4 linked regions of the Tamandua tetradactyla genome follow. The protein of the gene in region 4 purifies or fractionates together with the protein of the main gene of each other region. This does not show direct contact. Links are inferred from orthologs where the notes say so. Each region holds a gene or a part of one and is shown on either strand. Other genes may lie near its edges.

Region 1 (7,427 bases), on a different chromosome or scaffold from region 4:
GAGGACCACGTTGTATAATGTTGCAATGAAATATTTTAGGACAGAAAAAAATGAGCTACGGCTACATGCATCAAGAATCTTAGCAACATAATACTAAATAAAAAATCAAGTCCCAGAAGGCTACTTAAACTATGGTACCTTGCATAAAGTTTGAAAAACCCACAAAACTAAACAATATTTTGTTGAACTATAAACTTACACAGTTACGAAAAATTTTTTTAAAAAGGAATATTTTCCAGAATGACTGCACCATTCTATATTCCCATCACAAAAACATTCGAAATCTAGTTTTTCCACATACTCATCAGCACTTGATACTGTCACTATTTTCATGTTAGCTGTTCAAATAAATGGGTCTTAATTTGAAAAAAAAAAGGCAAATTGATTCTTGATAATTGTTTAACTGTATTGCTTTAATGGTGTGACCGTGTGATTGTGAAATTTGTGACTGACACTCCCCTTTATTCAGTATATAGGCAGAAAATAAAGACAAAAAATAAATAATGGGGGGGGTGAAAGGTATGGGCCGCTGTGTTTTCTTCTTTATTTTTATTTTTATTTTTTTTGGAGTAATGAAAATGTTCTAAAATTGATTGTGGTGATGAACGCACAACTATATGATGGTACTGTATGCCATTGATTGTATACTTTGGATGATTATATGGTATGTGAATATAGCAATAAAATTGCATTGAAAAAAAATAGGCAATGGCCAGATCTTGGAGTGACTTGCATTTTTTGACTAGGAAGTCTGCGCTTTATACTATGTCCATGGAGAGCTACTGAAAGGTGGATTTTAAGCTGGGTAGATGATTATTTTAAGCCACTTCCTCCAGGAATCCTTTCAAACACCTTTAAGAATAAGGAACAATCATTGAAATCAAGCAAAGAGTGTTTAAAGAAGAGAGACAAGTCTATCCTTAAGCAATCAAGAAAGATGAAGCCTGAGAAATATCTTTTGAATTTAGTTAAAATAGCAGTAGGTTGGAGAGGGGGATGCTGAAATGAGGGCAGGTTGTAGAATGCTTTTGGAAGGTTTGGCCTTGATGGGGAGGAGAGAGAAGGGATGATAGTTAAAAGATGAGGATCAAAGTGTTTTTGTTTCTATTTTGCATTTTTGTTAGAATTAAGACAGAAGAAACTTGAGCGTAATGGGGAAGATCCAACTGAGAAAAAAAGATTGCTTAAACAAGAAAGAGAAGAGATAGTCAATAATGGTAAAAAACTTGAGCAGATAAGAGAGACAATCTAAAGCAGTGGCAGGAGGAATAGACTTGGAAGACAGATAATACCCCCTCAATTATAACAAGAGGAACTGTGTGGCAGTTTGTAAATTTGTACATTTAATAAACAGAAAGTTGAAGTTTTCATCTGATGACCTCTATTTCCTCTGTGAAGTAGGAGATGAGGTCATCTGCTGAAAGTAAAGGAGATGGTGCTGGCAGTATTAAGGAAATTGAAGAGATTTGAAGTATTTGTTGCAGAAATTGAGAAAGTTGATCAGAGAAAAGTAGTAGGCCTGGTAAGCAGTGAAGGCCTAGTTAAAGCAACTTAAAATGAACTCACCAGTCTGTACTGGGGTGTGGCTTTCTCAAGCAGTCACTACTTCTTAAGGGCAGAGGTGAAGAAAATTGTGTGGTCAAGTTCATTTCAGGTTGTGATGGGCATTTGTATAATGTGATGGTTCTCAACAGGGGACAATTTTGCCAGCAGGAGATATTTGGCAATGCCTGGTGACATTTTTGGTTGTTCTCATGGGGGTGGGGGGTGGGGGGGTGGCATCTAGTGATCAGGAATGCTGCTGAACCACCCATAATAAACAGGATAGGCCCCACAATGATTTATCTGTCCAAAATAACAATAGTGCTAAAGTTGAGAAACCGTGGTAGAATAAACACAGACATGCAAGGGAGCTCAAGTTATTGCCAAAAGATGACAGATCATGGGATTCAAGTCAGAAGTCAGGAAAAGGCTGATGGATTGGGAAATAAAAGTGTGGAATCAATGAATAGGAGTTTTTGATGAGGTCAAAGAAAGTCACAGAGTGTGGTTGGCCAAAGAAACTGCAAGACAGAAGGTGTTTGGACAAAGAAAGTGATAGTTACATTAGGGAATTTAGAGGTAAAGAAATTGCAGGTGATAAGAAGGTCCAGGGTATTGCTATGGATGTGGGTAGCTGAAATAGCATAGAGTAGTAGATTAGGTTGAGTTTAAGGAGTTAAGAGATTTTATTGTTGGATTACATGTCCACACGGAGGTGGAAGTTATCCAGAATGATGGCAAGGTAGAGATAAATGTGTATTCTTTCACTGAAATGAATTAGTGGCAGAAAAAAAAAACAGCCTGAGAATCATCCTTACATAGATTTCTTCTCTCCTTCAAATCTGCCACCCACCCTCACCCCCACCCACTTCCCCGGGGTGGGTGGGGCATGAAAAAGATTTTCAGGCAAAAAATGTTGAATTTTAAAATTAGGAAACTCTGGAGACTTGACTGGTCTACAATTTAATGTTATGCCAGATCTTAAAACTCTTAAGATTTTAGTGAATTTGATTTCCATTTCAGTCATAATCTATACATTATGGTAACCCAAGCAGCAAAAACCTAATCACCTTGAGGTAGGGACGGAACACTAGCTTCCCTTTCTGTAAGGAACATTTTTACTTTTGTCTAGGGAAATGGTTCTCATCTGGAGGTGATTTGCCCCCAGGAAACATGTGGCAACTTCTAGAGACCTATCTGATTGTCATAACTTGGAGAAGTGGGGAGCTGCTACTAGCATCGAGTAGCCAGGGATGCTGCTAAACATCCTAATACACCATACACTCCCTCATGACAAACACTTATCTGGTCAAAAAAATGTCAATAGTGCCAAGGTTGAGAAACCCTGATGTAGGGTTACCTTGGTGCTTACCAATATCTGACCTTAATCTTCTATAGGTTTATCCTTGGACTATAGCCCTGAGATTATTGGGTTAAGCTGTTTTTTCATTGCTTGTCTTTAAAGGAGAGTAGAATGAGCAGCACACCCCAACTTTCAAGTGTTTTAAGGACTTGTGATGTCACAAATACAGAATTGGAAGTTTTCTAAACTTCTAGAAGCAACTTTGCCTTCACATATAGATGAAGGAGGTAGCTGCTTATTTTGATTTGAGGCACTAAAGGTCTTGTTAAAAAGAGATGTTATTTCAATAATGTAAGAGGAGGGACACATTACGCCATCACCAGCCTTAACGTAACTTGGTTTATTTGACTAATATTTATCACTAAAATAGAGTCCTGAGGGAATGGGTAGGGGCTAAGATTTTTAATAAATAAAATTACTTGTTATGAATAATAATATAGTTGTTGGTTTGCTTGATGCATGAATAGATACTTGACCTATGTTACCTCTTTTTTTTTTTTTTGCGCAGGCAAGCACCAGGAATTGAACCCAGGTCTCGGGCATGGCAGGCAAGAACTCTGCCTGCTGAGCCACCTGGTCCTCCCTGTTACCTCTTTTAATCCTAGCAACACCATCAACCTAATTTTAACTCTGAGGGAATGGAGGGTCCAAAGAAACTTGGAATTTGTCCAAAGTTGCAAATTACTATAGCTAGGTTAAGATTTGAGCTGAGGTCTGTCTAAAGTTCTGAGGCAACTTCTGTAACTGAGAAATTGAGATTTAAGAGATGATTTTAATTACTGAATTATAGCTGTATAGATGTTCCCTTTTGCTTTCTGGTGTATTAGAATGGTCAGAGGGAAATACCTGAAATCTTTGAATTGTAATCCAACTGCCTGAATCTCTGATAATGATTATATAGCCTTTCTCTTCTGCACCTGTGATTGTAAAAACCTTGTAACAGGGCGGGCCATGGTGGCACAGCAGGCAGACTTATTGCCTGCCATGCCAGAGACCGGGGTTTGATTCTGGTGCCTGCCCATGCAAAAAGAAAAAAAAAAAAAAAAGAGAGAGAGAGAGAGAAACCTTGTGACTAAACTTCACTTGTACCATTTATCCAGTTTTTCAACTTTAAAGTTTATGATCACTAAAGACAGCCCCTAATATTTATTAATGAAGGGTCCTGGGTCAGCCCAAAACTAGCCCGCCCCAAGTCCAGTTATCTTGATAACCTAAACTGGATCTAACCAAAATGGGCCCACCTGACATGCAGAGTAGCTTAGATTTTAAGCTATAAAGTTCCCCTATACCTCATTATACTAAAAATCATGCACATCATCATAATAAAGCCACCATTTTCTTACATAAATTCTGTGGCTAAGTATGTAATCCGCCTGCACATGCTCAATAATCTGATCACTTCTAATCACATCAGCTGGGACCACTGTGCTCATTATCCTAAAACCTGCCCATCTTTTGCTACAATAAAACTATCAAAATTATTGCAGTTTGGGAAGACAGCTTTTGGAGCCGTAGGCCATCTGATCTGCTGTGTCTAGTTATACACTTTTTCTCTCTTTGAAACCCGGGTGTCTCAGGAATGGGTCATTTGAGCGTGTGGGGCACAAGGATCCATGGCCTGTGTTTGGTAACACTTTCGTTAAGCTTTATTAAATATTACAAGGAATTAGAAAGTTAGCTGAAACAGTTGTCATTGTCAAAAGGGAACCGTGGAGTATTTAAGAAGAGAGTAGGAGCAAGGAGGCCTGAAAATACAACAGAGAGTGAAAAAGGGACCAAGGAGGCTAGTCACAGTCGGATCCAGTGCAGCTCCTGCAAACCCAACCATCTTTGGTCTTCCATTCTTTCAGAATAAACCCTCTACCCCTGTGTGCATTGTTCACTTCTGGGTTCTAATAAAGTTAGATTATTGAGAATGGCGGACGGCAAAGAGAGAGAGAGAAAAAAAAAAGGAGCGCGACGGCTGTGTTGTGCGCCTGCGCGCTGGCGGCGGCGGTGCCCGGGGGGGAGCCGGTCGGGAGTGGGCCGCCGGACCCAAAACAGAAGCTGGGGGTCTGGGGCGTGAGGGAGCTCCCTCCCCGGGGTCTCGGCGGTGCGATGGAGTAAGAGAGGTCGGCCGTGAGTGTGAGTATGAAGGTACCGAACCGCGTTGATGCGAATCAGAGCTCGAGGGTCCTACTGTTCCCCTTAGCAGGGCTGTGGGGTTGCAGGACGCGGCGATGTCTCTGCTGGTGCATGTTGCGGCGCGGGGATAACTAGTCCCATCTCCCAGCACCAGCTCGGATTATAGCTGGCGGTGCTTCTGGTTTAGGGGAACGGATTCTCGTGGGGGCGTTTAGGTTCTGCTCCCAGCCCTAGCTGGAAAGGTGGCTCCAGAGCTTTGACCTTTGGGGAAGGCCGTTGACCTCCTTCGGTTTCCAGTGGGGCAGGGAGCTCATAGACCCTTGTGCTTAAAGGCCTGTGGGTCACAGGCCAGGGACATCTTTCGACCTCTTGTGACTGACAACCTCCTTTTTCCTCCTTTCGTCTTCTCTCCAATGTGTCTTACTATTAGTTACTAATTAAGGGATGCTTACTATGTGTCAGTTTAATATTTCGTATGAATTTCAGTAACATAATTATAGTTAAGGAAATGCTTTTTACCTTCCTCCTCCTTCTACTCACTTTAGTCATTTTTAGAATAAAAATATATCCTGTTGTGGAGTCAGTTTTCCATGGCCCTTATAAATTTGGGACTGCATTACCAGTTAAGGAAAGTTTTTTTTTAAACTTATTACATCATTCACCATGATAATAATAATGATGAATTATTCAAACCACAGATAACTTTGAGCACTTACTAAGAGCCTAGTACTGTTCTAAGCCCCATGGGAAATCTTAAAATTTGTTTTAGACCTTTCACTTTGGTTGTGAATGAAACAGTGGAAGGCAGTATTCAGATTTATTTAACACCTACTCCATATGTGCCAGATACACTCAAGTATGTCGCAAAAAATTAATGAGATCTTGTAATGGAAGGTGGCTTTTTGCAGCACATTTTAGATGAAGTCTCTGAGAGTCTGATAAGTTTCTCAGGCTCACCTACCTAGAGTTAAGTGGTAACTTTCAGGCTGTATGATAACAAAGCTATCATTTTGCTGTTACACAAAGTTAGATACTCTAAGCGGTTCTGCTGAGAAGCAAGCTGCATTACAGTTAAGAGTTAGCTAATGGGATTTAAAAATGATAGGAGGCTTCAGTTAAAGATACTTGCTAGATGTTTTTTTTCCCCATGATTTACCATTTAATAAATATTCAGTTGTAGTAATTTTAGAGAAACTTAATCATGAACAGAAGACAATTTGACTTTTAAATTAGTGCCCTTGACTAAACTACTTTAATAATGCAAATAAATTTGTGGCATTACTTTTACTTTCAATTCTATACTTGCTATGAATTCTTGGATTATTTTAAGACATAATTCACATAAAGTTTTTCCAAAACACTTTTGAATCAATATGCAATTTTGCTAAAATAGTGTGTGTCCTCTTTTATAGTCCTCCAACTAATACCCATTGATTGTTACAATCTAATTTTAGAGAAAATTACATGTAAAATGTAGTTAATATGGAGGGTTTGGAACAAAAGTATAAGGAGAAAACTCAAGGATATGCAATAGGTTTTACCATTATTCCCAGAATTTTATTTATTCTCCCATACTCTGACTCTCTTCCAAATAGACAGATAAATAACAATTTAAAAGAGGAGTAAATTGTAAGCATCCTTTTGTCAGAGTTTTCCTAGATTTGCTAGTTTCATTTTACTGAAATATGAATTTTGGAAAATGTTTTTGGAAACACATGGCCTTGTGTAAAGAACCAAAGATTTTTAACACATTGATTATGTGTGCGTTTTGAAGCATCTCAGGGTTTTTAAAGCAAAGTAGAAACAAACATTCTACATTAGATGAAGTAAGGATGTGTCTAACTGTTTTGATATTTGAATTTGGTAGGGCTAGATGGTTTTTGAAGAGGCCTAGAAAGAGGTAGAGGGTGTGAAGCCTGCCTGAGCAGGCTAGTTCAGAAGTATTAACTTTGATTAAAAGGAAGGTATTTAAAAAGGAAAAATGTGAAATGGTTGTTAATTGCATATCTATGTTAGAGAACTGGTAATCTGAAGGTTACTGTATGAGAAGAGGAGAGTGGTAAATGCTAGCAAGCTTGGAATGGCTTAGTGAGTAATATGCATAGTGTGTGTTTTGTCATATGAGTATTATAGTAGACCCTTTAGGATTAATATGTGTATCCAATGAAAAGAGTAATTAGGCAGACAAGTTACATATAAATACTGCAGTTACACATCTAGTAGGCTAATCTCTGATTTGAAACCGTACAGTCACTTGTTTTCTTTTAAATGAAAAATGGTATCAAGAAGTAAGAGTTCCTAGATGTTTTTATTAGTAGGGGACTGATTAAATAAATTATGCATATTAGAAAGAGTAAGCCATCTCTAGATATGCAAATACCAAGTGGTCTGGTCTCCA
Region 2 (7,449 bases), on a different chromosome or scaffold from region 4:
GATTGGCACATGTAGAAGGCACGCGGGCAAATAGCTGGGGGACACAGGAAGTAGAGCTGGAGAGGGGCATGGCGGGGGTCTCCCCCTGCGGATGAGCGAGTAAATCTGTCATTCAAGCGCCCCTAAGTGCACTTGGGATGGATGGCCAGGGGGGAGTCCCCACTCTGGCCCTGAGAGCTCTGGAGCTGCTCCCCAGGGGTGCCCCTCCCCAAGGGGGCAGACCCTACCCAGCTCTTAAAGTGCTCGGCGCTCCCCCAGGGTGTGAAGAGCTGGGGTCAGAGGGCGAAGAGCAGGACGAGAACCAGCAGAAGCACGCCCAGCAGGACCGCGATGGCACACCACTGTCGGCGATCTGGCAAGGGGGCGGGTTGAGGGGGGCAGTCCAGAGGGCCGGAGGTCATGGGGAAAAGGGGGCCTCCATGACTACCCAGGGCACTTACCACTAGTCATGTGGGAGGCTTTGGCCATTCTCCTGAGGACCCCGTCCATCCGGGAGTGGGTGTGATCCATCTCCTGAGCAAACGCGTCCAGCATGCTGCCAAGAGCACAGGGTCAGTGGCCCAGGGAGGGACCGAGGCTCCAGGGCAGCTGCGGGCTCCTGGCCCTCCCCCAGGGGGTCCTGGCCTCTCACATGCCCTGTTCGTCCAGCTCCTCTCCGACGCACCCAGACATGTGCTTCAGGACCCGAATGCTGCCAGACACCATTTCTAGCTGTTGGTCCTGCTGGTCCAGGATCAGCTGGGCAGGGGAGGGGTGGGAGGGGCTGAGCTGTCTGCAGCCCCCACCCCCCCACGCTCAGCCACAGCTCCTGCCCAGCGCCCGCACCCCCCCCACCCGCCCTCCCACACACCTGCTGTGTGACCTGCTGCTCCTCAATGTAGCGCGAGGTGGCCGAGACCGCGCTGGCATCCAGCAGGTCGCTGGATGACTTCTGGGTGGCCGCCTTGCCCGCCAACAGCTGTGGGTTCAGAGACCACCAGCTCAGGGAGGGGATGCCCGTGTTCAGCGGGGCCAGATGCAGATGGTGGCAAATGTACCCATGAATGCGGTCCCTAGGGGTGTGGGCAGGGGGTGGGGGTGGGGTCTGGGGGTCCAATCCCAGCCCCACCACTTACTAGTGAGGTGACCTTAGCCCTGTCACCTGGAGCCCTCTGTGCCTCTGTTTCCCCATCTGTGAAACCGGGACTGCTACAGTTCTCATTGACATCACTCATTACTGTCATTTCGGAATGCTGGAGGCAGACAGAGCCAGAGGAGAGCCCGGGTTTGAATCTGGTTTCCACTGCCTACTCTACTGGGCACAGGCTGGGTCCCCCTGCTTCTTGGGCTCTGCCTCCCAGGACTCACAAAGCTTCTAGCATGGGTCCGCCATGGCCCGAGCACAGCAGAATGCTCTCTGCTACTGCACCAGGCTGTGCCTTTCTGAGTTCGAACTGTAATCCACAAGGTGGCCCGCGTGGAAGGTATGTGGGCACTGCTATAGCACATCAGCCTGGTGCGGGACTCCGTGCCTCCACCCACCCACACCCCACGCCAGCTCACAACAGGACACCTAAAGGCTGGGGTTTTATCACATGCAAAGAAAAGGCACATGACCCAGAGGGAAAAGGCATCCAAACAGAGAAGGCAGGGAGCCTACACACAACAGGGTGCGTAAGCAGAAAGGACAGACATGCACACAAGGTAGGTATGCAGGCTTCCCCATCCCCAGCTCCCTCAATGTAAGGAAACTAGTACCCACCACGCAGAAAGGGAGAAGGCTTGAGGATAGGTGCCTGAAGTACAAATCAACCCACAGGGAGGACTTGGGATGGGGGACACAGGCAGAAAGAGCAGGCTGGCATCTAGGGAGGGGATGCACATTGGCCGGGAGGGACCAGGCGCCCACATACCCAGGAGAGAGGCGTGAACACACACACGGAACAGACTCGAACTCAGAGCGCAGGGGCCCAGAGGGGGCTCAGGCCAGGACGCTGTGCCAGGAGGCCTCACCTCTCTGTTGTTCCTCTCCAGCAAGGCAACGGCTGTGGGCCTGACCATATGGTCCTTCATTTCCTGGGGGAGAAGGAGTCAAGACACCCCAACCTTCCCACACTCACTTCCCCGGGGTCCGACACACACACACACACACACACACACACACACACACACACACACACACACACACACACACACACACACACACACACACACACACACACACACACACACACACACACACACACACACACACACACACACACACCCCGCCTTCTGGAGGGGGCGGGTCCTCTCCTTACCTGGACAGCCTCTCGCATCCGCTCCACAAACGCCCTCCTCTCCTGCAGGTCGCCGGCTGGGAGCTTGAACTTGCCCGGGTTGGCCTCCACGATGCGTGAGCGGGGAGTCAAGGGTCAAGGTCAGGGCCGGACAGGAGTAGAGGCTGCCCCCCTTCCTCAAAATCTTCCGGATGTGGGGGTACAGCGCTCCCCCCCAACGCCCCCCACCGTCCCGTGCCACTGCCGCCCAGCAGGATATCGATGGTCTCTTCCAGGTCCTCCAGGTCCCACTCGATGCTGCGCAGGCCGTTCCGCAACTCATTGGTGGTCCAGTCCAGCTCCTCGCGGCCCGCCGCCGCGCCCTCCAGCAGGAGCTCGCACCAGCGCTGGTACAGCCCGCGGGACGCATTCACCGCCTTCTGCACCTCGCTGTGGGCAGGGCACAGCGGGGGTGGCTGGGGACAGGCGGCATCCCCTGCGGCGCCCCCAAACAGGTGGAGACCCTCGGATCCCCCCGAGACGACCCCGGCCCCGCACCCGACGGCGGCGCGCGGGCAGCCTGGTATCGCCCCGGCCCGCGCTGGGAGCAGGGGAAGGGGACTGAGCACCCGCCGCCCGCCCCGGTCGCCGTCACTCACCCTCGCACGACAAAAAACGGGTCTTCGAGAGACATGTCACTCCCCCCCTCCCCTCGGCCGAGCCACCTCCCCGCTCGGCCCTGCTTGCTTGCTCCCTCGGGGCGGAGGACCACGCGCCGGCTTCCCCGCCCCCCCCGTCACGTGACCCGAACCGCCATAGAGAGTAGGGCCGCCAGCCGAGAAAGAGAGGTCTTACAGGAGGATGGGCGGGGCGCGAAGCGCCAAAACTTCCGCCCTCACCTAGGCCGCGCCGTAGCCATCTTGGCTATGGGCGGAGGCGGCTTCCTGTCCGCGTGCTCCGCCCCCTTCTCCTGCGCCCGCCAGATTTAAGGTCGAAGCGCCGACTGTTGGTTCGAGACCCAACGCCTCTGGTTGTGGCTGTATAACCTCGGCCTCCCTTCTGGGCAGTCTGATTACTAATCACCTCCCTGAACCCAGACAACTGGAGAAGGGGCTCATTCGATTCTTCTTAGCTCCGTTTAGCGAACTCCCGAGGGGCTGCACTCCAGATTCGTCCCGCGAGGCCGTCCCAGCCTAGGGACCCGAATGACAGGGCTGGGAAGGAGTTGGGTAGAGGCGCGTAATCTGCGGGGCGTTTCGCCGCCTCCTTCTGCTGCGGGAGGGAAGGGGGCGCCTCGAGGTCGCTCTAAGGAGAACCGGGAGTGACGGGGCCCCGAAGATGCTCCTGGGCGGGACTCACCTCCGGGAGGATGTGCGGAGGTGGACTTTGTACTGCTTCTCCTCTCTATGAGCGGAAGTTTTGGGGGGGCGAGAGTGGGGGTCGCGGGGCAGTGGGTTCTGAGGCTGGCTTCCAGGGGAGTCCCCTGCCTGGGGCGTCTCTGAATGGGGAGGGCCCGAAATGTCTAGGGAGGATCTCAACGGCCCCACCTGGATGACTGAGGCACTCGGTGTGGGGCCTCCCGGAAAGCGCTTTATCTGGGGGTGGGGGTGGGCGGCGGGTCTGGAGCCTGAGTGGAGCCTGGGGAGTTTGTTCCCATCCATCCCGGTGGGAAGGATGTCTGGGGGAGTCCCGGATGGCCGCCCCCAGGTGGGCCAGAGTCGCTTATGGGGTCGCATATAGCGTCCAGCGAGTAGGCCATCGTGGGGGTGTCCGTGGTGGCGGTGTGTGGCAGAGTTGCTGACTGGATCAGTTTGGGAGGGGAGTAATTGTTGAGTCCCCATGTTGGGGGGAAGGGTGCGGCACCTAAAGGAGCATTGGGAAGATCGCTTTTATTTGTGTGTGTTGGGGGTACAACCTGGAAGGGGTCCTTGTAGGGCATATCGCTGTGGGGGAGCAAGGGATGAAGGGGTCATGGGCGGGTAGCTCTGTGTGTCGCACGGCCTCTGGAAAATGGCGTTAGTGGGAACCCTGAGGTCGTCCGCAGACGGGAGGGGTCCTTCCGGGAGGGGCGCCAAGCATTCCTGGCCCCCGCAGGGAAGGAAGCGAAACCTTCCTCTCCCTCCACGCCCGCAATCCACCGACCCCGTTGGACGTCGGGCCGGAAGCCGCGGGCTCCAGCGGGACCAAGCTGCCCCGGAGGGGGTGTGCCTGGTAGGCCAAGCGCCCGCCCCCGGCCCGCCCGGAAGAAACGCGCTACCACCAGCTAAGGAGATCTCGACCCCTGACCTTATATGGGCAGCCGGAAGCGGCGCGCGCGCGCTGACGTCGCTATTTCCAAATATAGTCGTGGAAGTCCAGTCGCTCTAGTGGCGGGAAGGCTCCCGGGCCAGGACTGGAGTGGGGGCAGGGGCCCTCCCCTTAAAGGGCCCGCACCACGAATGAGTGCAGGCACTCGGACAATTTTTCATCCTTTTTTTGAAGGACCGGAATAAGGTTTTCTTGGAGCGATGGCGCGTGGCGAGGGAGGTGATGTTTTCTTTTTCCTCTGGCTCTGCGGGGCTCACTTCAGCTCGCCGAAACCCGCCTCCCAGGGGGTAGGTTGGAGGCGGGGCCTGGCCGCGACGTCGGGGGGGCGGCAGCCACGTGTTCCCGGGGACTGCCCTGCAGGGGGACTCGCTGCCTTACTAGTGCGAAAACCCACGCGTGGAGCTCGTGTCGCGGAAACCGAAGGGATGTGCCCAGTGAGAAGCGCGGAAGTGGCCGCCTGGGCCGCGCCCGGGAGCCTGCGGCTATCGGTCACTGGCAGGGGATAGGCAAATTCGTACTCCCCACCTCCCCAGCCGAGCCAGCGCGGCCTCTTTTCTTCCCGTAAACAAGGGAGGCGTGAGGACTGGTGGACGCTAGAGGGAAAGACGGGGACCCATGCACAGCGCCCAGAAACTATCCCAGTGCCCCCCTTTTACTGTAGTGGCCCATTCATTCGTTTAGCAAATATTAGGCCAAACAAAAACAAAAAAAGTAAATATTAGGCCAGCCAGTCTGCCTCGGTTTCCCCACTTGAACAAAGCAGGTGTAACAACCCTCCTCTGAATGGAGGAAGAAAGTCAATGAGATAATACTGAAAAGGCTCAACAGCGCCTGGGACATAGTAGGCGTTTAATAAACGTTAGCAGCGTTACTATTAATTCAGCGATAGATGCCAGGAACTGTGCCCGCGGGGGTCGTACGGGCTTGAACCGGATCTTCCCCGGTGCGAAGGGAAAACTGCAACCTGCGCCCCGCTGGGACTTCCAGACGCGAGCACGTGGGTGGTCCCTGGGCCCCAACCGCGGTCACCACCACCCCCCCGCCCCCAGGGGCTGCGCGCGGCTGCGTCGGCGGGGCCCTGAGAAAGGGGGCCGTCCCAGGAGTTTAGCGCGGAGTGGGGGGCGTTCCCCCTTGTTTGGGTCCCCGTCCCTTTTCCCCGCTTGGTAAACCCCATCCTGTAGCTTTAAGGAGTCTCTTTGGCCACCGAGCGGTGGAAAGCCCGGATGCGGCCCTCTGATTGGGCGGGGCGAGGTCGTGACGTCACTGGGCATATAAAACAGTCCGGGTGGCGGGCGCCGGGGCAGAGCGTCCCGGCGGTGTCACGGTGCTGGTAGGCGTGTGGAGGGAGGTGTGAGCTAGCGCGTTGTCCACGGTGCACCTGCTGTGGTTCCTGCCCGAGCCGGGGAGTCCTCGTCGCCGTCGAGCCGCCATGGAAGTGCAGAAGGAGGCGCAACGCATCATGACTCTGTCGGTGTGGAAGATGTACCACTCACGCATGCAGCGCGGCGGCCTGCGGCTGCACCGGAGCCTACAACTGTCGCTGGTCATGCGCAGCGCCCGGGAACTCTACCTCTCGGCCAAGGTGGAGGCCCACGAGCCCGAGGTGCCCTTGCCGCCCGCCCGCTCCCCTGACCCTCGCCTGCACCCGCCGCGGGAAGCGGAAGCCGAGGAAGCCCAGGCAGCGCCCTCCGTCGGTGAGCCACCCTCCCCAGAGCCCATGGACACGCAGGAGGCTCCCGGAGCCGTGGAGCCTCCAGTCCGCGGTGACCCGCGATCCGCCAAAGCCAACCGCAAGCGGCGGAGCAGCAGCCTGAGCGACGGCGGGGACGTGGGGCTGGTCCCGACCAAGAAAGCCCGTCTGGAAGAAGAGGAGGAGGAGGAGGAGAAGGGGGCGCCGTCGGAGGTCCCGGATCGCCTGCAGCCCCCGCCTGCGCAAGCGGAGGGCGCCTTTCCCAACCTGGCGCGCGTCCTGCAGCGGCGCTTCTCGGGCCTCCTGAACTGCGGCCCCGCCGCCCCCCCGACGGCGCCCGCGGCGTGCGACGCGAAGCCGGCCTGTCGCCCGCCGGACAGCATGCTCAACGTGCTCGTGCGGGCCGTGGTGGCCTTCTGAGGGCCCCCGACCCGCGGGGACCTGAGCCCAGAGCGCGGGCCGAGCGGTCGGCCCGAGCGCGCACACGCACCCTTCCCCCTGCCGGGGAGGGTGGACCCGCGGAAGCCGTGGAAAGAAGCCGCCGCCCGGGCTGCTGAGAGGCCCCGAGGACTCGACCCCCGGGGACCCGTCGCCATCTGTGCGCAGCGGCGACGCCGAGGAGCCGGAGCCGGGGACGCGGGCGCCTTCCGCCGAGATCTGGCGCGCCCCCCAGGTGCTGTCTTAACCCACTGGGACTCGGACCTTTTCCCCGGATCTCCTGGGACTGGGAGACCGGGAGGCCAGTTCTTTCATCTCCTCAGGGTCGGACTTTTATTATTATTATTTTTTTATTAGGGGCCTGCGCTGCCCATTCAAGGTTTTCTCACTAGATGGTGTTTGCGTTTCTAACCTCAGCATCCCAGGCGCCCGAGTCCCCTTCCCCCTCTCCAGGAACATACTTGTGCAAGCGGTCACCGTTGCGTCATGGGGCAGACGTGGGGAGTTTCCTGCTCTTGGCGTGGGTGTGGGCCTGGGAGGAGGGTCTGGGGTGCGGGCCCGCCGGGGAGGGGGTGGGGAGCGGGAGGAGGGCGCCTGAGTCACGCGGCCCAGCGCTGCGAGTTAGTGCCCCGGGCCCCTGCGCCCTTCGGTGGGGCGGGGGTCGACCCCGGGGTCGATGGACACATTTCTCTAATGGGGACTTGGAGGTGGGGTTGCTGGCTGGCCCGAGTCTCCAGCGTGATCGTCCTTCAGACACACGGACACCTCAACCCAGAC
Region 3 (7,231 bases), on a different chromosome or scaffold from region 4:
TGTAATTAAATAAGACCTTGTAGTTGTCAGGGTTTGTGTCCTCCTTGGTGATATCTTGTAAGTCCTTGTGAGTGATAAAGGCATGCATGGTGCATGTGGCACATTGCGCTTGGCATCATTTTGATCAACACATCTTCTCTCACCTCCTGTTGTCACATAGAGCCATCACATGAGCCAGATACTGTCTGAAGTTCGCTGATCCACACAATGCAAAAGATTCAGGCCTTGTGTCTGTCACTTCCCACACACACGGGATCTAGTATAGGCAGACGATATAGATGGCAACACTGCTGGTGTTGTCTGCTCCAGTGGCTAACAGTATTCCAGAGGGATCCAGTTCACTGGCCTGGATACCTCTGCCCTGTTGGCTCATCACCACTCTAGGCTCTGGGTCTTTCAGACTGGAGATTGTGGTGATGTGGCTTGTCTGGACATGCATTACAATGCGCATTTTGCATTTTATGCCACACATGACTGAATGCATGTTTTTTTTTTTAACTTTTCCTTTCTTTAGTTGTTTTTGAAGCTGGTTTTACTTACACTAGCCACAAAATAGTTTTAAATGCAGATAGACCAGAAAAGAAATGCTTTTTCCTACTCTAAGCACCCATGACCAATGCAAACAGCAGGATTTCAGCTGTGTGACACTGTATACGGCCAAGGTCCTGTAATACGCACCTTATAGACTTATTTGAACAAGCTGACACAGGTGTCAGACAGGCACTGATATTACACTTACATCCATCCATACAAAGAGGATTATAAAGACTAAACGATGGCGGCCACGGTGGCTCAGCAAGCAGAGTTCTTGCCTGCCATGCCAGAGACCCGGATTCATTTCCCGGTGCCTGCCCATGCAAAAAAAAAAGAAAAAGACTAAATGGTACACACTGTATATCAGACAAAGTGGTATGATCAGAGGAGGTCTAGGAAGAGGTCTAAAAACACTATACTTTCTGTGGGATACAGATTGGATCCTGTGAAGCAACTAGAAGATATGTTATCTCTGGGTTGTTTTTCTGTCATATCCCCTATCCCAGACAGAGAACAGATTTAATCCTGAGCCCTGTGCATTAAGCCCCCCTCTTTCCCTTCTAGTGACTGTCATGTGGCCTGGGTCTCTGCTCAGGCTCGTAATGAGACGATAGCAAGACGGCTGTGGGATGTCAGCTGTGACCTGCTCAGCATTCCAGTGGATTGACAGGTGGTGGCCGCCAGACCCAAAAGAAGACTGCAGGAGTCTGCTTACCACTCCCTACCAAACTGACTCTCCTTCAGGGCAGCCAGAAAGGAGCAAAATCTTCCAGCCTTGCCTGCTTGGTATTCAGTAAAAGGCCAGTACACTGCCAGATTCATCTAAATGCCTTTCATTTGTCCAGATCTATTTTATTCCTGTTACTGCCAGAATTACTAGAATATAGAATATGAAAACCCTCATATGACTTGCACAGATCATATTTTCTCCCCAAAACCTAATGCATAGGAGGAGCCAAGCTATGGTAGGGTTGATTTATGGGAATTTGGACTAGTTACTTTCCTCTTTATTCACCATGTATTTCCTGCCACCCAACCTTCTTGACTTTAAGAGGACCACACTTGCAGCCTCATCTAAACTCCAGGAATCACAGTGACTTGGCTCAAGAGCAGAGTTCCTCTTTCACTTCTTTAAGAAAACCCTCACAGCACCAATATCTGGATTCTTTCAGAAAACTCTTAACTGACTCTGGACTATGGCTCTGCCTTATCTTTGACAAGCCAGAGTCACTTTGTTAAGACACTTTCAGGTCTAGACTATAGAAGAGCTTCCTTTTGTAAGTAGTCTGTGGGGTTTGGTTTTAACTGTGGGAGGGAGGCAGAAATAAACATCAAGTTCAGAGTGTCATTTTCCTGCTGTTTCTCAGATCAGCAAGCAGGGGGCATGAAGAGAGCAGTATGATGGCCACCTGACTTCAGTTACTGACCCAGTACTCAGCAAGGCTTCCTTTTTTTGTGCCCTTAGCTTCTCAGAAAACCAGAAGAAGGGAAAGGCTGTTTGTCATTGGGCTTATCTTTGTGTGTTTTCTTGTGTATCTCTTCAGTTGGGAATATTTTCAGAAAATTCAAAACAGCCACAAAGGAGGAGTATTAAACTGGACCTCCATGCAGGGTCCACATCAGAGATGGAGCAGACCAGTGTCAGTGTCATTCCGTCTTTGATGCACATGGGTAGAGCTGCTAACGGATGCAGACTCTGCATTTGTTGATAACTTCCCACCAAGAAGCTATCCATATGGATAGCAGAGAAGTCCAAAAAAGGGAAGAATCCTGGGAGATATAAAGCATGCAATGAAGGAACTAGTTGAGGATTTATAAAAAAGACACAAAACGTCTAAAGACAGGAAAAGCTATAGCAGAATTGAGGGTAAGCACTGAATCACCTAGACTGATGAGACCCTTATTGGTTAACAAGAACCAATCGACCAAGGTGGCGGGCAAAAAAAAAAAAAAAAAATCCCAATTCTTTACTCAGAATAATTATCCTAAGGACTGACTTTCAGTAATTACATTCAATTTAATAACCTTTCAAGGCATTTCTTTATATTATCTTGACAATGCTAAAATGTCTATTTGGTAAAAATCTGTATTTTATTTGGAGGACTTTTAATAAAAGTAATGCAAAAAAATAAAAATAAATAAAGGGCAGTGCAATGGTGGCTCTAATGCTGCCAGAGGAAATCAGAGAAATTGGTAATGTTTCATCACTTGTTTACAGTACATTATTCTATCAGAGTCTGAGATTTTCTTGAACTGGCAATTTATATGTTTAACTTTGGTAGGGAAAACAGTAATAGGACCACAGTCTCCACTTCTCATAATTGTAAATTAATAATCTTTTGTTGAGATTGTTTTGACCATTGAAGTGTATATTTAGAAATGGTCATATTATGGAAAATAGGAAATCTTTTGTTTTGATGATAATGCAGTAGAATAGCTGAATTAATACTTTATTACTTGATTTAAATTGAATGTCAGTGACAAATAAAAGTCTTTTTGATTATGTTTTTACTTACCAATTTAAAAAGTATAAGAATTCAACAAAGGTTTAATTATATGGTCAAAAGAAGAAAATACTTTTCATTATTACAGTTATTCATTAATTCCTCATTCTAAAGAATGATTTTCCCTGTCTAGCTGCAGTCCAGTTTCAGTTCAAATGACATTAATTTGGGTTTTGTGATAATTTGATTATTCATTCACCTAATTCCTACTTATCTTCTATGACACTGTTCAGATACCACCTTTTCCCATGTTTCTTGTTTATTCCAGGCTATCTCTCCTTTTTATATCTGCTCCTTTACTTCCATAACACAGTCCTATGGGACTTATATCAGTTCACTGCCACTAACCCCAGACTTTGTTATTTCTGTATTCTCAGTGTCTGTTAGTAACTCAACAAGGGCTTGTTGACTCAACTGTCAGCGAACTCAATCTGACAAAAATAAAGGTCTAAGAGATAGAAAGCACTAAAAAGAATATTCATATACTTTTTCATATGTGTAGGCAGTTTAAATATTGGGCTTCCAAGCAAACATTTCAGTTTAGACAAATGGTGAGGTCAGTGAAAATAGGAATTTTCTTCCATTAACCATTACACTAAGTATTTACACCCATGGCGTGCAGGAAATGACTAAATTGTTAACACATTGCATCCAGTGGTAGGTAGCCAGGTCTGCCTTCTCTACCTGATTATAAATTACCCCGGGACAGAGAGTAAAATTGTTTTATTCACCATCATATCCACATCCCGGCACAATGCCTATAACAAGCCCCTGTAGAGTGAATGAATGCAATGCACGAGGCAACCTCATGCATTACGCGAGCCGGACTGCTAGAGGCTAAGAGTGTGAACTTTGGGGTCACACTGCCTGGCTTCCACTTCTGAAAGCGTGTGACCCGTGGCCACCTGACCTACCCAGTATAAGCGCTTTACCCGCCCATGGGCAAGTAGGAACCCGGCCCGACTACCTTTCGAAAACGGAAAGTTAAGGTATGAGTCAAGACATGCACTGAGGGGGTCAAGGCATATCTTGATACCAAACCACTGCACGTCAGCGGCGACCCCGAGCAGCCGCGGTGCTGACGGAACCACCCACTCCGCGGAACGCGTGACTCCCGTCATCCGCGCCGAACTACAACTCCCGGCCTGCACTGCAGCGCGCGCCCTTCGCCAAGCCCGCGGGGCCTCGGAGGGAGGCGGCCGTGCTGCCGGGTCTGCGGCTTCCTTCCCATCTTTCCGCTTTGGCGCCCCAGCCAATCCCAGGCCGGGTATTTCCGGGCCCGGAGGACCGCAGCTCACCCCAGCGCGGCGCCGCTCCTCCATCAACCCTTCGGCTGCGCATCTGGCCTGATTTTCTGTCAGGCGTTCGCACTCGACGCTTCCGGGGCGACGCGAGAGAAAGAGAGAGAGAGAGAGAAAGGGAGAGAGAGAAAAGGGGCGGGAGAAATGGGCGTTCCAGCCTGAAAGGACCCCGCTGCCGGCCCCGGAAGCGCCTCGCCTAGGCGGTGGCGGGGGTCGTCGTGATGCTGGCCGGCCAAGGCGGCTGACTGCCGGGCTAGGAGCAGATTCCCGAGGCCAGAATCTCGGCGGCCACAGCCGAAGTGCGGCCTGCGCCATGGCCACCTCCGCGGTCTCCTCGGAGCATTTCGAGAAGTTGCATGAAATCTTCCGCGGCCTACTTGAAGATTTACGAGGAGTGCCGGAGCGGCTGCTGGGGACAGCGGGGACCGGTGAGGCGAGGGCTGGCCGGGATGTGGGAAACTGGGCTCCTCGCGCTCTGGGAAGAAGAGCCCCGACCCTCCTCCCAGACCCAGGCTTTTCTCTCCCTGTTCCTCATCTTCAGACGCGCCACAGGGCTGGCTAGGTTCCGTAGCCAGGATCTCCCCGCCGCCACTTCGACTGGGCTGAAGACTCAGGGAGGGACCTCGGGGTGTCGTCTCCCAGGGATCTTCCCTTTTGATCTTCTCGTGGCCCTCTCAAAATTTTCTTGTCTCATTTTTTCGTCATGGCAGAAAGAGCACAAGGGTTCTTAAATCTTTTGTAGACTTATGTAATTTATTTTGTGCATTTAAAAGCATCGCAAACTGGTGTTTAAATGTCAAGAGACATTGGGTTGAAAACTCAAAAAGGAATCATTACTTTGAGATTCAAAAATTTGTTAAGAGTTGGTAAACACTAGCGTGGTAGGGGAGATTTTAAAATCAGGATTGTGGTCTTGAGGTGAGGTCCTGTTGTGAAGTTTCTTGCTGCTTCCTGCCTCTTGAGTTCAAGCTTCAGGTTGTTGCAAGCTCTGCCTAGAGCTACGTTTTTTCATTTAAATCTGTAGGAAATCCTGTCATAGCTTCTTGGCTCTTGCTGAATAGATCTGTATGGCAACGAGAACAAGACTTTGAGTTTGCTCTCTGAATTACCAAGGACATGTGAATTGAGTGACTAGTGAGAATGAAATTCATATATATTTTTTTAAACAAATATTAGAAGACTGCTATGTGCCAGGCACTGTCCTAGATACAGTATCACAGTGAAAAAGACATGCAAATCTCCATTCCAGAGGGCGGATGACAAACAATATTTAAGTATTAAGAGGAGTTGTTAAGGGCTATACAGAAAAATAAAGCCCTGTAAAGAAGTAGAGTGAGGGAGGCACCAGTTTTAAATAGGGTGGCTGGAAAAGGTCTTTCTGAGGAGGGGGGTATTTGAACAGAGACTTGAATGAAGTGAGGGAGTAAATCATGCATGAATCTGGTAGTAGGGTTAGGAGGAGGGACTAGCACTGCAAAGGCCCGTAAGTAGAAATGGGTTTGGTATGTTCAAGGAAGAGCAGTAGGGCCAGTGCATTCCATGTGGAGTTGGCAGAAGGAAGAGTGGTGGTAGATGAAACTGGAGAGAGATGGCCCAGACCATATGGGGTCTTGTAGACCATGATAAAAGATTTGCATCGTCTTCTAAATGGGATTCATTTAAAGGATATTCAGCAGTAGAGACCAGGATCTGATTTATATGGTTGAAAAAAAGACTGCGGTTTCAGCCTGGCACTGAATTAAGTTCTGCGACATCCATTTCTTTAATGCTAAATAATACAAAAGGGTATTCCATTTTGAAAAATAGAAACCTGAGTTATATTCATCTTTGTCATCTACTTAACATTCTTCCCATTCTTGCAAAGAATCTAGTGAAAAGATGTGCAGTGGTGCTCAAGCCCAAAGTACGCTGACATAAATTGCATGTAATGGGCTTAATTAATTAATGGCTAATGTATACTATATATACATTCTCAGGGCTATAATAAAACTTAATCTCATTTTTCACTGTCTTGTCTGTACTTGTCTTTCAATAAATGCTGAATAAATCGAATTTAATTAAGCAAACACTCTGGGCCTCTTTTCCAAATCCTTCTTTCCTGATTCTGAGACCACTTCATAAACTTTTCAGAGATTTAATTCTCACTGTGAGTTGGTAGATACTGTGTAATGTCTATAACTCAGCCCTTGCATTTAGCTTATGATCTGTAGCTGAATTCAGTTATTTTTCAGTTAACATTTATTGAGAATTACATGCGGCAGTCACTTTCCTGGGCCCTGAGAACTCCTAAGAGTTCTTGCCTTAAAGGGAAGCAAATTTACAACAACGTGTATGATGCATCCTAAAATAAAGTTCTCTAAGACCATTAAAAACAACTACCTTAAGCATGGGAGAGGGAGGGCAAAGTTTTACACTTGGAGTTGAGTCTAAGGGAAGGAGTAGGTGTTTGCTAGACAGAGGGGAAATGGGAAAAGGCAACAAAAGAATTAAAAATTGGATACTTCCAACTATAAGTGGCTTCAGGTGTGTGGGGGAGAGTAGTAGGAGATGGGGAAAGTGAGGTAAAGCCACATTGTCAGGAGTCCTAAGTGTCACATTAAGATCCTGGGACATGATATGGAGAATCAGTAAAGGATTTTAAGCAGGTGATACGGAGTGAGGGAGAAAAATTCAAGGGTGTCTGTGTTATCTCACTTGGCCAATAGAATGAATGATGAACTTAAAAAAGAAATAGGAGAAACAGACTTGTTGGGGCTGTGGTAACTCAAGGCTGGGTGTAGAATAGAGATCATAATGTATCCCTTTCAACCTGACAAGATATTTCTTCTCCTGCCATTTAAAATAATACTTATGAAAAACATATTATATCCCCCTATTCTATATTATTGACAG
Region 4 (7,630 bases):
CAAGCCTCCATTGGAGTCCTAGGCTTCACAGCCTGCCCTGCGGATTTCGGACTCTGCGTTCCTGCAGTCAAGTGAGACACTTTTATAAATTTTTTATTTGCAGGCATTCCCTGTTGATTCTGTTTCTCTAGAGAACCCTAACTAATACAATTTATTATTGATATCATTTTGCCTATATATATGTATGTCCATACACACACTCTATCAGAGCAGGGGTTTTGACTGTCCTTTTCATCCTCTTGCCCAGGCACCTAGAACAATGCTTGGCATATAGTAGATGCTCAAAGAACGCTTGCTACATGAATGCTCCAATCTACTATATGCTTGGGACTAAGATAAATTCTAGAAATACAAAGATGAGAAGTCATGTCCCCTACCTCAAAGGAGCTAACAATCTAGCAGGGGAGACAGACCACACCTCAAGAAGAGAAGGAAGAGAGCGTCACAGGTTCAGGTATTCCCCATAGTTTCCTCTATGGGGTGAAAAAACAAGTCACCTGTATAGTTGACGTGTTAACCACTACAGAACTGTAATAATTGATTTTAAAAATTATAAAAAGGCTGATGTTCACAAGAGACAGACCTATTCCAATTTGGCTTGCCATATATTAGCTGAGCAGTATTTAACTACTCTCAGCCCATTTCCATAAAATGAAAACAATATCGGTACCTACTGCACAGGATTGTCATAAATTTAATTAAGACAATGCATGGAAAGCACTTTTCATACTGCCTGGCACACAGTATGTACTCAATAAATGTTAGCTATTAATGCTATTAGTAGTTGACTTCAATGATCCCCTTGGGCCCAATATCAAATCAACAGCTAAGTCTTATTAGTTCTATCTCCAAGCAAACCTCTCCTATCCTTTCCTTCCTTTTCGTTCTCACAGTCCCTGATAGCTGAGTCCAGTCTCTCTTCCTTCCAATTTAATTTACACATTCCTAAATAATTAATTCTAAGCCCCTTGGCCCAACACTTAAAGCCCTTCATGTGTGGTGCCAACTTACCTTCCCAACCCTATTTTCTACTGTTTTCCTGAATCCATCACTCTAGCCAAACCGAATTACTCTACTTTCCCATATACACCCCATGCTTTTCTACTACCGAGACTGCTCATTTTATTCTCTCCTCCTGGAATGCTCTTCTCCTCTTTACCTTCAAAAGTCCAATTTCTTTCTATCATCATCTTTCTAGATTTAGCTAGAATACTATAATCTTTCTCTGATACCTCCCCAAATGGAAATGTCCCCTCTCTTCCCTGAATACCCAGATAATGTCATATGTGTGTCTTCTATAGCACTGATCCCTTTTGACTTTATTTATATTCAGGTTATTTATGTATTTCAAAGGCCTGCTGACAAAAGAATCTGTGCCAGTTCCTATACTTACTCCATATCCAGGTAAACAAATAACATCTTGAATGAATACTTCACAAACAAACAAACACAAAAATTAGATTTAACCTCAACAAGAAGCTTTCAGCCTTCAACCAGAATTTTCTGATCTAACCAGTATTTCATCTCCCTCACAAAAGGAAACTGAAGCACAAAGTAGTATCCTTTCTATCCACTGGTCATGTTAATTTATTTTTATTTCTGGATTTAACGGACCATACACGTTTCTCTACTTCCACATCACTCAATCTCAATTCCTTCCCATCAGAAACTTTCTGCCTCTCAAATTTTCATTACACATTTAAATTTAAAAGCAAAGTGACAGTTTATCCTTTAAAATACAGGACATAATTGAATTCAGGACCCAGTAGTTCTATTAACAGCACATAGCAAAACTCACAAATACACAATACTAAACAACAATGATGATAATCACCATTCTTTCCAAGTAAAGTTGCTGCTGCTCACCACCTGTTTACAAGGCTCTGAATTCAGACTTATGCTAGTCTCACTAGCCACTGATGGTGGGGAGGGGATTTGGGGACATTCTGAATTCTGCCACCAACTCTACCAGGTCTTAGTGTGTGATTGTGGTCAGATCCCTGAGCCTCTCCGTGCATCAGAATTGTTGGAAAGAGTAGCTCAATATGGAAGGAAACTAAAGTCTCATCCCACTTGTAATCCAAAAACATACATAAATCCTTTGCTACACAAAAGACAAAATAATGTAAACTGAGATGTTTTCAATGAATTCTCTTTATTAAAACAGAAGTCATCCCATACCTAAAACACAGTCATTGTATCTGGTTCCCATATTCATTACAGAAAGAACTGTTTATAAAGTCATCCAAATACACGCACTCCGTACTTCCTTTCACTGAAAACTGCTAATTTAGGAGGAATCAGAGGCCGAGAAGAATGTCAATGTAAAGCCTAAATCAGTAAACAACCCCCTATCCAAACTGGCCAAAGAGGGAAGGGATGAGGGTGGGTGGAAGACGGGTGACAGGAAAAACTCGGCTGACTACTAATGCCAAGCCAACACCACACTGCTCTCGAGGTGGCATCCCCTCAGCCTCCGGCTGTCAAGTCTGCAGTTTCGGCCCCAAAACCGTAATAGCTGAACTCCTGAAAAGAACCTCGAGCTTCAGCTGGGGTTCGGAACCCTCCAGGAGCCAGGACCTGACATACTAGGGGATGGCAGCTCAACGCCCCAAGAGTGGAGAGCCTGACGGCCTCAGGCGTGGCCTTCGCTGAAGCCCGAACCAGGCTCCGCGTCCCGGCGGCCTCATCCAGGCCTGTCCCCGGGACGGCGCCCGCCCCCCAGCCCGGTCCCTCCGGCTCACTGGCTTGGCTGATCCGCTGGATGTTGCCGCTGCACGTCTGGATGATGCTGTTGAAGTCCCGGAGCTGGGGCCCCGAGGGCCCCGGGTTCCGGTACATGTCTAAAGGGCCGTAGGACATGACGAGGAGTTGACACCCGCGGGCCGGGCACTGAGCTCCGACCGGAAGCAGCCGTCAGACTGGACCCGCAGGCCGACCGGGAAACCGGGAAGAGAAGGGCAGGGAAAGAGCTGAGGCTGCGCGCGCATTAGCCCCCGCCCTCACGCAGTGCGCATGCGTCGCTGGAAGAGTGCCTGGGGCTGTAGCTTAGAGACCCGACACACAGAGGTTTGGGGATGCGGGGCGGGGCGATGATGTCACATAATTGGGACTCAAATTGGGTACGTCAGTGGCGGGGCACAGTGACAGGAGGCAAGAATTTACTATTTGCATAAAATTATACCAGATGATCTCAGCCATTACTTCCCATTCTGATCTATTCTGAGAAGTCAGGCCCGAGTCTAGGAGAATTTGACAACCTCGAAACTCATATCCTTAACCTTAAACTCATATCCTAAACCAAACTCCTGAAATTCCTTTCTCTATTTCCATCCTTTAGGGGCTCTAGTAGTATTTGCGGAGCCTACAACCAGTTTCATTTCTCCCTCCACCCCTTTTCTAATTTTAAATATTTTTTTTAATTTTATTTATTTATTTTGTTTTGTCTTAATATTTTTGAGCACCTAGTGTTGTGTGAATCCTAAATTCACTTGTTTACAAGCTCTTTCACAGTAAGGATCGATGTTCTATCCATATAGAACTTGCTGGGAAACTTGCAACAAAAGACACTGTTTCTCTGGAGGTCTGATATAAGCATTGCACCATGGACCATTTTGAAGAACTGGATACGTTGCATTTGAATATTCCAGTCATCTTGGTATTCTTGGCTACTGAAGGATTTGGTTTGCCATTTGAGTGCTGTAGATTAGGGGATATCAGTTAAGTGTAATATCTCCTGCTTGAAATCTCTGAAAAGCACTGAGCATTCATTTGCTTTTTGTAAGTAGGCAGACAGTACTGTCCTCCATTTTCCTAGATCTTGTCAGGCTTTCATCTAAAAGTTCTTCCTTACCTGCTTACTTGTTCATTTTTTGTGTGTTTTTTTTCCATAGGAAAGAATATATAAATTTGTAAATCCTCATTCAAAGAAAAAAATTATTTTGAATAAATAATAGACGGTCAATTTTTTAAAGCTGAAGTAACTCTGCAAAGTAAGCTTTATTTTTTTCCGTTTTACAGACGAGGAAAAAATAAGGCCATAGAGGTTAATTCGCTTTAATGAGATTTGACTACAAAACTCATACACTATGTTGACTCCGTCATCATCTCTCTATTTCCCTAAAATTCAACCCCGTATTCCCAAATTCATTCTCCATCTAATCCCTCCCAAGTAGCCTCTTCATGTATTCCAAACCGGGATTTCTTGGGGAAATAGACTCCCAAAATTTAAAGTCATTTCCTTAAGTAATTTGGAGTATGCAGCCTCAATATTCCTACAGAAGGCTGCATTGTGTGAGCAAACGATGAAGGGAAAGACAGCAGTAGGATTTGGGTTTGGGAGGAGATCAAGATAGAGAGAAGTGAAGGGAAATAGGCATTTTTTCCTGTGTTCTTCACTCCCCCACCCTCCACCCCCAAGCATGCCTTACAGTCTCTGGAAAACGGCAAAGAGAGGAAGCTGTTTGCCTGTTTACATCTTGGGAGGGGTCCCCAAATGGGTGAATAAGCCTGCATTCAGCCTTAGAGCTTTTGTAAACAAGTCTATCTCCTTTTTTTTTTTTTTCCAGCATCTCTTTCTGTATAGGAGACAGTGATACTGGGGGTTCTCATACTGGTTTTTAAAACTACTGTTCTTAGAATCCATAGTTTTATGTCAAAACTTGTAATAAATCATGCATATTGTACTTTTTACCCAAAAAACTGTCTTGAGGATGTTTTGACACTACTTATAGTGAAATTCAGTACAGCTACTTATCTCCTAGGAATTGAAGATATAGTTGTTGCTGTTATTTTCTTCCTCCGTCTAAAATAAAAGTGGTTTTCCATCTGTGCAGCTCTATAGCAGTGAACTTTTGCTTTGCAAATACTAGATGCCAAATAAACATTTATTGAACTCATAAATGAATAATAAAAACTAACCTTACCATTTCATAAATGCCTAATCAGGTGTTAAGCAGTGTACACACGTTCTGCGCACATTACTGGTAATCCCCAAGATAAAGCCCACCTTAAAAAAAGACTACCTGTGCTCTAACAAAGTTAGGCATACTAACTTGCTGTTACAAGGAAGACTTTACCCAAGAGGAATCTTCAGGCATCTTGATAGAGTTATTCTAGGTCTTAGGGAAAAGATGGAGTGAAGGTAAAATTTAAAAGAAGTGATGTTTTGACAGCCTCAAAGCACACCAGGTTATATGCAAAGAGATTAACATCAGGTCCGACTAACCAGGAGATTCAGGATCCTGTCTCCCTGGAAACCACAATGTGACGATAAATGACGAATGTTGTATATGGAAACCCCTTATCTGAAGCTCTGCACCTGGGTTGGAAAATGGAAATTGCTATTCAGTGTCAAAGTAACTCAGATCCTCCAGAGTAGAGTGAAATGTTCCACTTCTACTAATATATTTCAATCAGCATATTTTCTGAAAATCTATTATTTTAAAGGATAAGTTTCTCAGTACTTTGCTCCTTTGTTCATTAACAAAAGCAGTTTTCCCATCAAGGTGAGATTAGCTACTTGGTACAGTAAGGAGACTGTTCTCAAGAGGTTGTGGGTCCTTGCCCAAGGTCATACAGCAAAGCCAGGATTCATACATATCCTACAACTGAATAATTCTACTCCTAACTATATATACCCAACAGATGTGTATACATATGCACTCAAAAAACAGGTACAGGAATGTTCATAGAAATATTCTTTTAAAATTAGGCAGCATTTTTTTTAAAAATCAAGATTACCAATAGAAAGTGCATAACACTCTAGCATATTTTTAAATTTTATTATTTATTTCTACAACCAAACACTTTGTCTTCCTCCCACCCTTCATCTGCTGTTAACCTCTAATGTGATTTCTATGGCTGCAAATTTGCTATACCTAGTCATCGCCCACAAATAATATCGTATAATTTTTGTCCTTATGGACAATGCTTATTTTATGGAGCAAAAACATATATATTTTTTTTACATGAGCAGGCACGGAGCAAAATGTTTTTAAGATTATCCTCTGTTGCAGCATGTCTCAAAACTTCATTCTTACGGCCAAATAATATTCCATTGCATATGTGTAATACATTTTGTTTATCCTTTCATTTGTTGAAGGACTCGGGGGTTTTTTCCAACTTTTGGCTATTGTGAATAATGCTGCTATAAACACTGATGTACAAGTATCTCCTTGAGACTCCTGCCTTCACTCTCTTTGAGTATATAACTAGAAGTGGAATTGCCACTTACAGTGGCCAATAAAATATAATTTTATATTTAACTGTTTGAGGAAACTTTATTCTGCTTTCCACAGTGGGTGCACCACTTTACATTCTCACCAACAATGCACTAGAGTTTCGATTTCTCTGCATTCTCTCCAACACTTATTTTCCATTTCTTTAAATAATAGCCATTCCTATAAGTGTAACGTGGTATCTCATGGTTTTGATTTACATTTCCCTAATGTCTGTTGATGTTAAGCATCCTTTCATGTATTTATTGGACATTTGTATATCTTTGGAGAAATGTCTATTCAAGTCCTTTGCCCATTTTTGTAAGTGAGTTGTTTGTCTTTTTGTTGTAGCATTATAAAAGTTCTTTATATATTCTGGATATTAAGCCCTTATCCAATATGTGGATTGAAACTATTTGCTCCCATTCTGTGAGTTGTCTTTCTATTTTCTTGATAACTTCCTGTGTACAGAAAAGTTTTAAATTTGATAACATTAAATTTATCTATTATTTCTTTTGTTGCTCATGCTTTTGGTGTCATATCTAAAATCTATCAGTGAATCCCAGGTCATGAAAATTTGCTATGTTACCTTCTAAGAATTTTACAGCTTTAGCTTTTATATTTAGGTTCCTGATCCATTTTGAGTTGATTTTTTTAATTATATGGTGTGAGAGAGGGGTCTAACTTCATTTTCTGCATGTGGATATCTAGTTTTCTCAACATCATTTGTTAAAGACTAATGTTTCCCCATTGCATGTAATTAGCACTCTTGTCAAAATCAATTGCCCGTAGGGTGGGCCACAGTGGCTCAGAAGGCAGCGTTCTCACCTGCCATGCCAGAGACCCGGGTTCAATTCCTGGTTTCTGCCCATGCAAAAAAAAAAAAAAAAATCAATTGGCCATAGATGTGTGGCTCTTATTCTGGAATTTCAATTCTGTTCCTTTGATCTATTTGTCTGTATTTATGCCACACTATTTTTTTTCATTTTTATTTAATTTTATTTCTTCTATAAGCATGAGCATTTAGTTCAAATATTTTTACAATTTCACACTATTTTTGTAACTGAAACTTTGTAGAACAATTTGAAATTGGGAAGCGTGAGTCCTCCAACCCTGTGCATCATTTGCGGGAATGCTTTGACAATATAGGGCCCCTTGCAGATCTATATAAATTTGGTTTTTCTATTTCTACAGGAATGGCTGCTGGAAATTTGATAGGGATTATTATCCCTAATTACTGCACTTTGCTGCTTCAAAATTTCTGTTTGGTTCCTTTTTATAATTTCAATCTGTTTATTTTGTTCAATCAACTTTTTCCTAATTTCCTTTAGTTCTTTGTGTATAGATTCTTTAGCTGATTAAACATATTTAAGACAGCTGATTGAAAATCTTTGACTAATAATTCAAATAAT

What was found.
Region 1: the proteins of STX12 (region 4) and SNAP23 purify together in Homo sapiens (affinity purification with mass spectrometry; 3 studies listed by BioGRID and IntAct, counting the BioPlex papers as one, with this or other methods). This does not show direct contact. The link is inferred for Tamandua tetradactyla from reciprocal best matches to the Homo sapiens genes STX12 and SNAP23.
Region 2: the proteins of STX12 (region 4) and STX10 purify together in Homo sapiens (affinity purification with mass spectrometry; 3 studies listed by BioGRID and IntAct, counting the BioPlex papers as one, with this or other methods). This does not show direct contact. The link is inferred for Tamandua tetradactyla from reciprocal best matches to the Homo sapiens genes STX12 and STX10.
Region 3: the proteins of STX12 (region 4) and VTI1B purify together in Homo sapiens (affinity purification with mass spectrometry; 3 studies listed by BioGRID and IntAct, counting the BioPlex papers as one, with this or other methods). This does not show direct contact. The link is inferred for Tamandua tetradactyla from reciprocal best matches to the Homo sapiens genes STX12 and VTI1B.

The regions. Positions count from the first base shown.
Region 1 is NC_135340.1:56,366,155-56,373,581, reverse strand, and holds the start of SNAP23 (synaptosomal-associated protein 23), read right to left. Parts: upstream 3,014-7,427; 5' UTR 2,915-3,013; intron 1-2,914. UniProt on the Homo sapiens protein: Essential component of the high affinity receptor for the general membrane fusion machinery and an important regulator of transport vesicle docking and fusion.
Region 2 is NC_135337.1:89,556,893-89,564,341, reverse strand, and holds the start of STX10 (syntaxin-10), read right to left. Parts: upstream 3,019-7,449; 5' UTR 2,932-3,018; coding exon 2,897-2,931; intron 2,688-2,896; coding exon 2,518-2,687; intron 2,386-2,517; coding exon of another isoform or gene 2,375-2,385; coding exon 2,280-2,374; intron 2,056-2,279; coding exon 1,993-2,055; intron 959-1,992; coding exon 851-958; intron 739-850; coding exon 632-738; intron 536-631; coding exon 441-535; intron 353-440; coding exon 276-352; 3' UTR 1-275. Other genes in the region: IER2 (immediate early response gene 2 protein), read left to right, coding at 5,974-6,654. UniProt on the Homo sapiens protein: SNARE involved in vesicular transport from the late endosomes to the trans-Golgi network.
Region 3 is NC_135338.1:25,310,023-25,317,253, reverse strand, and holds the start of VTI1B (vesicle transport through interaction with t-SNAREs homolog 1B), read left to right. Parts: upstream 1-4,227; 5' UTR 4,228-4,652; coding exon 4,653-4,767; intron 4,768-7,231. Other genes in the region: RDH11 (retinol dehydrogenase 11), read left to right, coding at 1,099-1,201. UniProt on the Homo sapiens protein: V-SNARE that mediates vesicle transport pathways through interactions with t-SNAREs on the target membrane. These interactions are proposed to mediate aspects of the specificity of vesicle trafficking and to promote fusion of the lipid bilayers.
Region 4 is NC_135328.1:198,555,085-198,562,714, forward strand, and holds the start of STX12 (syntaxin-12), read right to left. Parts: upstream 3,016-7,630; 5' UTR 2,863-3,015; coding exon 2,745-2,862; intron 1-2,744. UniProt on the Homo sapiens protein: SNARE promoting fusion of transport vesicles with target membranes. Together with SNARE STX6, promotes movement of vesicles from endosomes to the cell membrane, and may therefore function in the endocytic recycling pathway.